3 linked regions of the Schizosaccharomyces pombe genome follow. The protein of the gene in region 2 interacts with the protein of the main gene of each other region in a biochemical or structural test. Each region holds a gene or a part of one and is shown on either strand. Other genes may lie near its edges. The genes, in order: moa1, cnp3 and csm1.

Region 1 (3,077 bases), on a different chromosome or scaffold from region 2:
TTCAAGGAGCAGTTTTAATACTTTATGTTTATAGGATTTTTGATGGAGAGGTCCGGGTTGAAAAAATGCAGTACAGAAAACCAGAATAATCTCATGAAATATACGATTGAACCACGGAATATGCGGTCTTTTCATCGTAAAGAAGTGTTAAATGATAATTAGATGTTTTTCTGTTTATTATAGCATAATCCGTATCTTAATTTACCGAGTATGTAGACTACCGAAAAGTATGTGCTTTCCTTACTTGCTTTTTTAAAATGAAAGAAATGTTTGAAGGTTAAATTTATGCGCTGACTTTATCCACTTTTCTTTGTCGGCCTTTCGCGTCAAATATTGTTGAACATGCTATCGTTTGTCCTGATCGATATGTATAAATAAAATCGTAGTCAAGGTTGATTTGTAAAGCAGGTTTGTAAATCTTTTTTAATAAATATATCATATGAAAAATAGATGCGTTAGTACTTGAAAAGTACGATTATATTCCAGTGTCAGTTAGAGATTTAAAACAATATAATCTCATCAACCTCAGCATCAAATGCAGCGAGTGTTTTGATTATGCTTTCTGTCATAGTTTTTCTGTGATAATACGCAGAATCTCTTGTGATAGAGTCCTTTGTTTGGGTATTCTTGATGTTTGAAACTAACCGTTCATCTGGAACATGTTTAACAGTTTCATTTAAAAATAAATTGGAGCCCGTCCTCATGCAAGACTTCGGGGTCGACGTTGCTACAGGTTTAAGTTTGTAAAATAACTCGAGATCAAATTTTAAAATGTTTAAGCCTTCGTAACCATTTACGGGGAAATCGTCAGCAGTTTTTGTCTCAGGTGTCTTAATTATTGAAAAATCAGATGGAAGAATGTTTGAAAAGGCTTGATTTTGATGAATTGGTAATGTTTGATTAGTTTTGTCTTGTAAAGCTGGACGTGTCGAATTCTTTTTTTTTGAATTTGATATTTTAGGATTCTTGTTTTTTTTTATTAATTTATACTCTAATTCGTTTTCATTATTTATAGCCATAAATGCAATCTATTGTTTTTTTTCGCTTAATGTTTTATATGATTAATGCGGTTTTGTTTACATTTTTACCAATGGGAAAACCTAATGTTCGAGGTCTACTAGCTGAATTTACGAATAACAAATCTTAATGTTTTTTCGTTGAGTTTACTTAGCCTAAGTGAAACCACAAGGCTGCTGTTAAAACTTTTAAAGGAAAACCAAGGTAGTGTGACTTTAAGATAATAAAGGATTCAATCAAGCATCGCTAATCCTTTTTGATTCCACAGTAAACAAAATATGTTATGGTGATTATAAGTATTAACTTAGATTATATAATTAATGGCTAATTAATATAAAGTTTTGATTTAATGTCTTTAAGTGTGCAATCCATCGTAAACATCATTGTCTATTTATAATAAGGATTTCTCATCATCTGCATTGAAAATCAAAACAACTTAGGAAACGCAACATTAAGTAATTAGAAATTTGGTTATGCAATGTGTACTAAACGGCTTGTAACTTAAAAGGAGCTTAACGTCGAACATTGTGAGTCTCCAAAAAACATAGTTTTTTTAGCAAAGCAGTAAATATTTGACGTTAAAATACTTGACAGATAATATTAACATCAAATGAATCTTATCATTTCTAAAAGCTTTGCAGTAGTTGCTTTGCATTCCCTGAATTTCGTTTTACATTCACTGCGCTTTCTTAAAATATGGTATGCTGGAAATTTGATTCCAACCACTAACAAACAAAAATCATAGATATTGCTAAAAATTAAACGATTGGCAAGATGGATATTCGGCCAGCTCGTATAAGTGACCTTACTGGGATGCAGAACTGCAACTTACATAACTTGCCTGAAAATTATCAGTTAAAATATTGTAAGTTCAATTCATTGTAATTCTTGCTGCACGGCAATGAACTTCCAGTATTAAAACAATGATTCTTATTTTCTAATTTAATGTAGACCTTTATCATGCTATTTCTTGGCCTATGCTTTCTTATGTTGCTACTGATCCGAAAGGACGTGTCGTAGGATATGTTCTTGCAAAAATGGAAGAAGAGCCTAAGGATGGGATCCCTCATGGTCATATCACAAGTGTCTCAGTAATGCGCTCCTATCGTCATCTAGGACTTGCTAAACGTCTCATGGTTCAAAGTCGTAAGTGTTAATTGAGAGCGAAGTAGATTACGGATATATCCAAGGAGGAGCTAGAGGGAAATCTTAAGCTTTTTTGCAGTTGTTATCGATGATTATTCCAATATGTATATATTTTATTTTGTGCAAGACTTGGTCTGCTAATACTTTGAATTGTTCATTTGGTGAGTTGGTTTTTTCCTTGCAACAATTCATTTTTTTTACCTAATTTGTTTTCGACAATGTTTCCTTCCTGCTGATTCCTTGATATTTTCGGTCCATTCCTTAAACAAAATTTTTTTAAAAAAAGTAAAAGATACTAACTACTTAAATGAACAGAAAGAGCCATGGTCGAAGTTTATGGCGCCAAATATATGAGTCTTCATGTTCGTAAAAGCAACAGAGCTGCTATTCATCTTTATCGTGATACTTTGCAATTTGAGTATGTTTTTACTCGCCATCATTGAAGAGATTCTAACATTATTTTAGCGTTCAAGGGATTGAAAGCAAATATTATGCTGATGGTGAAGATGCTTATGCTATGCAGTAAGTACTTTGTTGTAAAAACTAGGTTGGGGATGGTTGCATGGATCGTTTAATGAGTATTCTTTCCAAAAACTATATACAATCTTTGTGACAATCGTTCTTTCTTTAGTTTGGTCAACTTCTGTATAATTACCTACGTTGTTTCAGACAATATATGACTGTTCAACGTCATCACAACTATCTAGGTTACTAACAATTTTTAGCAAAGATTTTTCTACTTTGAAATTCGATACACCAGAAACCAACGACGAACTAGCAAAAACCGTTCAATCTCTTGCATTGAACAACTAATAAAATATATACCGTTATTTCTAATTAGTGAATTAGGGTGTAGTGTACGATACTGCAGTTATAACTTCGTGATAGCGTATTTAACATTTGATTGTACTCGC
Region 2 (4,789 bases):
AGGGGCACACATTGGCGGCAACCCGAATGGAATACAAAAAATGCAAATTTTGATTTCAATCGACCAATGCTATAAATGAAAAAGACAAATAAAATCGAATCATATAAAAAAACAGAATAAATAATGAGACAGACAGTGGAAATGATCCAGCGGCATCGAGAATTTAAAAAATCGGCTCTTCTCTAATAGTATCTTTTTGCATTTGCAACGGAGCGCATATTACAAATCTAAGGTTGAATACTAATTATTACGAATAATAAGCTATAAAACTATTTTTTTTGGAAATAAACAGCTATTTAGATTAGAGTACATGAGTACTACTGTTAGTAAACAAAACGACATTCACTCTCTATATTTATGGCAAATTTTTAACAGCTAATTTTAACAATTTCTTGAGTTGCCACTCAAAGTATAAAGAGATATGCCTTCTTCGATTTACTTGTTGAAACTACCAATTTAAATAATAGCTGCTAACGGCTTCTAGTGATATTCCTTAAACGGCAATCGCCATTTTAAGGAAGAAAGGCCAATTGGTCGCACTAATAAGGACCTGATTTGAAGCCGCTGTAAAATAGGGTTTTCCCTTTTTTGCTGAGTTCGCGTGAAGGTTGTAGGCGAAATAAAGTGACAATATACATTCAAAATACAGACTTCATTATGGGAACTTTCATTTTCTTTATAGTGGTAGCAGGATAACCTAGCCTTTGTGTATAAGGTGATATCCTTTTACAGAGGTTAGCTATGGATTCTTGTAATACAGCCAAAAGTACGTACATAAATTTTGAGTAAAAAATTCGGGTATGGTTGAAGGAGGCGTAAACGGAAGCATTTTCTTGGCGTTAATTGAACATGTTTCGCACTTTAGTCTTCTTACTATGTCATGAAAAGAGCTATTTTAATTATTGTACGGGGTGGCTTGCTAAATATTGATCTGCTAGATATAAAATTAATAAATAAATAATAAAATAATAAAAAATTTTGTAAAAAGAGAAGCGAAAAACCAAACCGACTTAACTTTTTGTAAATAAATATATTTAATTTTATTTACTTTTGAATTTTTTTTTCAGCCCTATTCAAGATCAATTGACCCCTTTTTTGGCAAAATTTCACCATTGCTGAGATTTCGGCATCAGAAAATTTTCACATACTATGGTGAAAAAAAGAAAACAGTCAAGGCGTAGCATCGCAAATTTGGATTCATACAAGAAAAAAAATCTCGTCAGCAATACGCTTAATAACACCGACTGTAATAAATAATGGTGGTTTAGCACTAATATAATCGTAAGTTAATAAACAATCATCAATTGGATGGCCAAGCCAGAAGAAATCCCAAAAATAAAAAAATTATAAAAAATGATAAATCTATTTTTAATCTCTTAAATTGTTATTGCGGTAGGCCGTTTTTTTGAATGTCAATTGCTCAATCCGTCTTTTCCACTATTTGGGTTCATCCCTTGGTAGCGGCTACTTAATATGCTTCTAGGTAGGGTTCATTTCTTCTCTGGAATTCCCTTTCTGACCTTCATTCTAAGGAGGCATGTTTGTTTCTGTTTACCGTAATCTACGCTGTCAGCACTAGTAAGTTTCATTTCCAACGCAATTTCGTATTTGTTTGCCTAACATTATATAACTATAAAATGCATTCAGAAAAACAGAAAAGCGCTTAGGCAATTAAGTTTATATGTATTGGTTAGTTATACTGGAAGCAAAAATGAATACACCTTGCCTTTTCGCATGGGTCTGATTGATAGGCTTATTCCATGACACATAATGTACATCCTGTACTACACGTAAACAAGAAAGACAACACTTACGTCCCCATATATTGTTTTGTTTGGCTATTTAGGCTATATTTTTACTTAATGTTTATTTAATAGAATAATGACGATGAATGAAACGTCTGCTATTCCGGCAAGACAACGAGAGAATCAGTTTTTTGAAATTGGTGTCGTAGGCAGGTACGTTCGCGAATTGGGTTCCATATATCGTAATAATTATTCTTTTTTTAATAAATTTACTAAAAAATATTTTTATCTAGAAAAACAGGATTCACAGTTCCCAGAGACGTTAAAAAAGGCGATGATGGATTCGAGGATATGGATGCTTATTTTCTTTCCGACGGTTCCATCCATTTGGACGAAGATAATGGAGACATTGAGCAGGATATGCCGCCAGTAACAAGACTTCAACCTACGTCTCCAATGGCAGTCAATGCTGCTTCTGATGAAGCTTCTCATGCCTCATCTTCTGACTCTAGTGATAAAAACCCGGATATTCCTTCTTCACCATTGTTGATGAATTCGAGAGCTCTTCGGGCTAGCCGTGGTTCGTCTGGTCCTTTAATTGGTAAGGTTCTATCTACGCATCACAGATTTTTATTTTACAACTCCTCAAATACTCTACTGTTACTTTCCGTTTCATTTCATTGATAAAATTACTAATTATACATACAGTACCTATAGATCACTCAGCTTTTCAAGCGGAAGATGAAGGAACCGCTGATAAGACGAAAGTCGATGGCAACAAATTATCAATTCAGCCAAGAAAAGCAAATCGAATTGTCGATTTTTCTAGGATAAAAGCATCTCCAGATAGAAAAAAATTCGAACCTCGAAGAAGTACCGAACTTCCTTCCAAAATACCATCCTCTACGCCCAAGGATGATAACGTTCAAGAATCGCCTGCATTCCCCGATGAAAATATTACTGCTTTACAAAAAAATGTAGCGAATTTTACTAGTATCAAGGATAGTGGTGGTCGCGATAATCTTTATATACAAACCATTTCAAAACCCCGTAGAAGTTATGTTCAAAATAATAAGTCAGAACAGACGATTAAGCCTTCTAAACAGAATAAGCAAAAAGAGGAAAAGAAAACAATATCCCAGGGCAACAAACCAAATTCTAGAGATGAAGATTCCGAACTTTCTATCGATGTCCCGCTTTCTATGCTTAATCGAAGCCTAGCAAACAATTCTCAAAAGAATAAGAAAAGAACACCTAATAAACCTTTACAAGAATCAAGCATAAATTCTGTTAAAGAAGGGGAGTCAAATCCAGTAGTCAAGAGAAAACGTGGTCGACCTCGTAAGAACAAATTAGAAATCGGCAATTCTGTTCAAACTAGTGAGGCTACACAAGTTAAAGGCGCAAAGAAACCTGCAATTAGAAACGCGAAGAAGATGTCCAACGAGAAGGATGACTCATTGAATTCACAATCAGATTCAGCTTCTGGAGAATTTATTAAAACAATTGCTCGAAATAATTTACAGGAAATTAAACAGGTCGAACGTGAAGATACACTAGTTGGTGTCCGAAGGTCGAAACGTACACGAATAGCACCACTAGCATTTTGGAAGAATGAGCGTGTTGTATATGAATTACATAGAGATGAAAATCGAATTCCAGCACTACCGGAAGTAAAGCAGATAATCCGAGTTGACGATCCATCACCTTCAATTCGTCAAGGTCGCAAGAAAAGGCATGCAAAGCGCTCAGGAGTTGAAATAAAAAGTAACTTGGAAGCAAAATCGAATGATGTTGAAGAATATGATGCTTTTTACAAAGACGAAATAAACTGTGAAGTTCTATCTTGGAATGAACAAAACCCAAAAGCCTCTGAAGAACGAGTAGTCGGCTATTCATTGCCTTCTGTAAATCTCCAGCAAATCTCTAATCAACAACTAAAATTTGCCAGCTTGTTCAAGGAGGAGCCATCTTTTGCTGCTGGCGTCGTTGAAATGCCAGCAGGAGCAGAAAAACCAGTGAAGCCTTCGAAACACAACATAATGTCTTTTTGTATACTACAGGGAAAGATCGAGGTCACAGTAAATGCAACCACTTTTCGAATGAAAAAAGATGGAGTATTTATTGTTCCAAGGGGTAAGTTTAAATATACACATTTCTAAAAATTCAAACAGGAATTATACACCGAGAATGTGTTTTGACTAACATTGCTTTAGGGAATTATTACAGCATAAAAAATATCGGCAAAGAAGCTGTTCGACTTTATTATACCCATGCGACCGACACCTTGGAAAATAAAAGAAGGGGAATAGGGGATTTTCCAAACGAACGATGACAATACTAATAGTGTGTTATGGATTTCGATGTACAAAAGTCATTTAGTCGTTATGTAATTTAATTATCTGTTATCAATTTAATCATATTAATAAAGTCATTTTTTCTAAACTTATTTTTGCATCATTTCCTTAAATTTAAGCGTTTTACTGTAATCGTCAATTAATTCAGTTAGCCTACCAATATTCATTTTTGTCGGATCAACAGTCAACTTTTTTCCATCCTCTAAATAATAATTATTAGCAAAAGTCAAATCTAACGGTCGCAGTTAAACCATCTAGCTACTTAAAAGCCTTACTGTATACAACTTCAACAGATGGTTTTGAATTGGTATCCTTTGATGCAAGACTGGTAATGAGATTAAGTCCATAAAGAGAGTTGCTGGTTTCTTTACTGGCAACTGCTAGCAAAAGTTTCGCAGATTGACTAGCTTTGGAAAACGGGTTCACATTCAAAATTGACAATTTATTAATGTACCCAAATATCATGATTAAAAATTTTAACTGGAGAGTAAAGTCGTCAAGGAATGTAATTAAAAGAGATCTTTATGTGTAGATATTTTAAATACATTAAATGGTGGTAAGTTTTGTAAACGAAATGACATTTGGTAAGCTAGGTGACCGTTACCCTGATAGTCTCACTTCCTACAACAACTAAGTCAACTTGGAGATACAAACGAAACTAGTATGTCTCTATAATACAATTTGTCA
Region 3 (3,668 bases), on a different chromosome or scaffold from region 2:
TCGCTATTTTAAAATTACTATGGAAGGGCCTCAGCAATCAGCTTATGAAGGTGGAAAATTTCACTTAGAGCTGTTTCTTCCTGATGAGTATCCAATGGTAGGTTTTTTTTGAAAACACAGTATTGAGCCTACCATGGTCCTTTTGCTAGCCCTGCTAGTTCAACAAAAATTTGAAGAATGGCATTGTCAGTTTCAAACTGTCTTCAAAAAATTGTATAATTGTGTAATTTGAGTTTTAACAACTATTAGATGCCTCCCAATGTTCGTTTTCTTACTAAAATTTATCATCCAAACGTTGATAAATTAGGTCGCATATGTTTATCTACGTTAAAAAGTATGTTAAACTTCACACGTTTCATCTTATTTTGGTGTACTAACATTAATAAATCAGAGGATTGGAGTCCTGCTTTACAAATTCGAACCGTGCTACTTTCGATACAGGCATTAATGGGTGCTCCCAACCCAGATGACCCTTTAGACAATGATGTTGCAAAGATTTGGAAAGAAAATGAGCCACAGGCAATTGCAAATGCCCGTGAATGGACGAAAAAGTATGCAGTTTGATTACTTATGATAGTCCAATGCTTATGGTTATCACTAGAATAATAATATATTACGATATCAATAGCTTTCTATATACAGTCTTTGATTTGAATTCTACCCATTTCCTTAAGTTTTTTGCATTCAATTTTTTCCTAAGCGGTTAAGGTCTTTTCGAATAAAAGATGTAAAAATTAATAATAGATAATTATGGTAGCAGAATACAAACATCGCAGCTTTTGACGGACGATGAAAAAAGTGATATCTCGACGAGCACAATTAATTTAAGATATAGTGCTATTCATATAACAAGGAAGTATTAAAGTTTAAGCAAAATCCATAGTTATTATTGTTAATCTTGCAAAGCTTTCATTAATCTAGCAGAAAATAATTTTCCTTGTTCTTTCGTAAAGATAATTTCCTCCAACAAATAGTCTGGTAAATGTTTCATAAGCTCCTCATCAGTTTGAACATTCAGACGTGGAGTAAATGTAAAGTTTTGATCATCTAACAAGAGCTGATATTCGAGTGCTATAATAATATCCTGTTAGCTTGAAATTATTTCTAAATCCCTTAAAGCACTTACTCCCTCTCCTTCCAGTGTTTTTACAGTTGAAACGATATCCATCCTCGTCCTCTATACAGTCTGCAACTTCTAATCCGAAAAGCTCCTTTATAAGTATATTAATTTTTGAATAGTTTTTTATTTGCTCTCGAGTTTTCAATAACTCATTCTTTAACGAATGGTTAGCTTTCTTTTCATTTTCTAGTTCTTTTTTTAAATCTTTGACTATTGTGTCTTCTTGAATGTAAGTAAAAAATTCAGAAATAGGCCTTAGTCTTACCATCAGCGTCAGCGCCAGCATTGGTAACAGGTTTTGCCAAATCTTCAAGTAAATAAAATTCTTGTAGTTCATTAATTTTTCGTATCAGCTTGTTCAGTTCATTGAATTCCTGCTCTTGGGTGTGCGAAAGAGTAGATAACTCTACGTTAGGGAGTTGCAACTTCTTATTCAACTCTGACATCCCGGAATTATTGATATGAAGTTCATTTTCGTTCTCCCTTACACTATATGCATCTTGATCTTCATTATTAACAAAATCCTGAGTTGAATGCATTTGTCCTTGAGAGATGCGTGTACGCTGTTTTGGTAATTTATGAATAAGCTTGGACGATTTTCCTTTAGCTTTGATATGTCAGCTTAATCTACACAGAATAAATATACCTTGTTCTTTTAGTTCACTATCTTTAGATGTTTGCATATTATTTTTTCTCATACTTTGTGGTGGATAGTGTTAACATTAATAATTGATCCTGGTGTGCAAATACATTAAATAAATCTAAAATATATCATAATAACTGTTTTATATTTCTTTCAATATAGTCCTTGAAGCCACTTTATTTTGACCGTCTTAGACGGTGGATTCTTTGGATTAAGCAGAAATTATGCAGTTAGCTTGATTCCAAATACAAGTTGCATTATTGCCTACTAATTTAATATTTTTAACAGATGAGCTACCAAGTCTTTCATAGTAAAATCATGTTTCTTTAATTCTTCTCTGTCATAGATTTCCGATTACACCTCCGCCTATCTCACCATATTTCTCCCACTCAATACATTCTCTAGGCTATTATATATCCTTCGATCCTGTTGCTTAACCTGCAAAGAAACTAAATTAAATATCTTCATTTTATTTTCTAAATGGGATGAATTGTAGACGAAAACCTCTTCCTTTACACTCGAACGAAGTTCAAGCTGCAGAGTCTATAAGTAAAGATGAGCTCTATAGGTTTGTTATTTCATTACTTTTCATTTTAATTAACCAACGTATTTAGCTGGACTTTAAAGAATGTGTTAATCCTGTTCTTAGTACAGTATCGTGCATCTACCCCTTCAGCTCTGCAGACATCATCATTTAGTACACCAGTTGAGAAAAAGACCAATGGGGCATTTTCTGGTAGTCTATTTTCTGCCAAAGAAAAAAAAGATAATCCAAAATATCCCAAGGATTTTATAAAATATTTATCGCTTGCCCTTGAGAGTATTAGTATGGGAAAAGAGCCAGAATATCAAGATCAGTTGATCAGAGGATGTTTCGCAGCATTTTACAATAACATAAACAAATCTCATATATCTAAGCAATTAAAAGACTCGAGGAAAATTGAGGATATGTTTTTGATTTTTGCCAGCTCTGTTTCATCTGAACTTACTAAACGTTTGGGAACAGCTTACGATTCAAATTTAGCAGACAGAATTACTGCTTCCTTTATTGAGTTATGCAAAAGAGTCACGCTTAAAGGCCAATTGGCTTCCCCATCATCTGAATTTGTATCCCATCTTGACATGTATCACTCAAAGCTTCTCAACAAAAGTGAAATACTGAGTACAAAACGCGTTAATAGAGGACAAGATCAATTTGACCTTTCATCTTTTCCTTTGTTAAAAGTTTTTTCGTCAGTATTCAAGGTTGCTTATTCAAAAGCATTGTTGGATGCTGAAAAATTATTTCCCTCAATAGATGAGGCCGCCATAGCTGAAGATATTGGCATTTTAATTGAGGATTTAGAAAGTGATGCTTGTAAATTTTCGCATTCGGTGGTCGATTTTTCTAATTATAAATCATACTCCACTTGGAAAGCTCGTGAACTTCAAACACTAGAACAACATCGTAAAATCATGTTAAGTTTGATTCCTCTTTCTTCATCACCAAATCACCCTATTCAACCGATTGGTTTTCCTGCCAGTAGAAAAACGCCGACATACGTGCCGCCAATAGCGCGGCCTTACTTTCGGCAACTTCTATCGCTATGTCTTGAATACAGATTACAAGTTACAGATCCTGTTGAAGTCAAGCAAATAAACACATTTATAAGGGAGTGCTCCATTTACTGGAGAATATTGCCATCCACTCGCTGTGCTTTGAGTATGGATTTTGCACGCGAACATTTACAAAAAGGGTTGATAACTTCAGCAGACGTTTTGACACATTTCGGTGAGCTTCATAAGTCACTCAAAGAATGGGAGATAACATATTGGCCAAAGATCGATGTTTCAATTTTTAGTTCTGCATTGTTTGGAATCAGAAATGCATTAGCTCAACTTTTAAAGAAATCACTTTTAGATTTG

Evidence for each region.
Region 1: the proteins of cnp3 (region 2) and moa1 form a complex in vitro, tested with the Schizosaccharomyces pombe proteins (one study listed by BioGRID).
Region 3: the proteins of cnp3 (region 2) and csm1 form a complex in vitro, tested with the Schizosaccharomyces pombe proteins (one study listed by BioGRID).

The regions. Positions count from the first base shown.
Region 1 is NC_003424.3:3,728,016-3,731,092, forward strand, and holds moa1 (meikin), read right to left. Parts: upstream 1,020-3,077; coding exon 501-1,019; downstream 1-500. Other genes in the region: retromer complex subunit Vps29, read left to right, coding at 1-89; NatA N-acetyltransferase complex catalytic subunit Naa10, read left to right, coding at 1,792-1,882, 1,969-2,163, 2,479-2,581, 2,629-2,685, 2,889-2,976. UniProt on the Schizosaccharomyces pombe protein: Plays an important role in chromosome segregation during meiosis I by allowing meiotic rec8 to establish cohesion at the centromeric central core and thereby promote the side-by-side structure of kinetochores at meiosis I.
Region 2 is NC_003423.3:4,125,661-4,130,449, reverse strand, and holds cnp3 (centromere protein), read left to right. Parts: upstream 1-1,783; 5' UTR 1,784-1,881; coding exon 1,882-1,958; exon of another isoform or gene 1,959-2,038; coding exon 2,039-2,346; intron 2,347-2,453; coding exon 2,454-3,881; intron 3,882-3,961; coding exon 3,962-4,080; 3' UTR 4,081-4,132; downstream 4,133-4,789. Other genes in the region: mrpl44 (mitochondrial 54S ribosomal protein mL53), read right to left, coding at 4,192-4,304, 4,378-4,567.
Region 3 is NC_003424.3:5,284,280-5,287,947, reverse strand, and holds csm1 (microtubule-site clamp monopolin complex subunit Csm1/Pcs1), read right to left. Parts: upstream 1,839-3,668; 5' UTR 1,819-1,838; coding exon 1,767-1,818; exon of another isoform or gene 1,728-1,766; coding exon 1,386-1,727; intron 1,340-1,385; coding exon 1,127-1,339; exon of another isoform or gene 1,072-1,126; coding exon 893-1,071; 3' UTR 658-892; downstream 1-657. Other genes in the region: ubiquitin-conjugating enzyme Ubc13, read left to right, coding at 1-97, 250-334, 392-564; Munc family exocytic/endocytic regulator Ync13, read left to right, coding at 2,249-2,331, 2,378-3,668. UniProt on the Schizosaccharomyces pombe protein: The monopolin-like pcs1/mde4 complex is essential for accurate chromosome segregation during mitosis and meiosis II. May clamp together microtubule binding sites on the same kinetochore, preventing merotelic attachment of microtubules.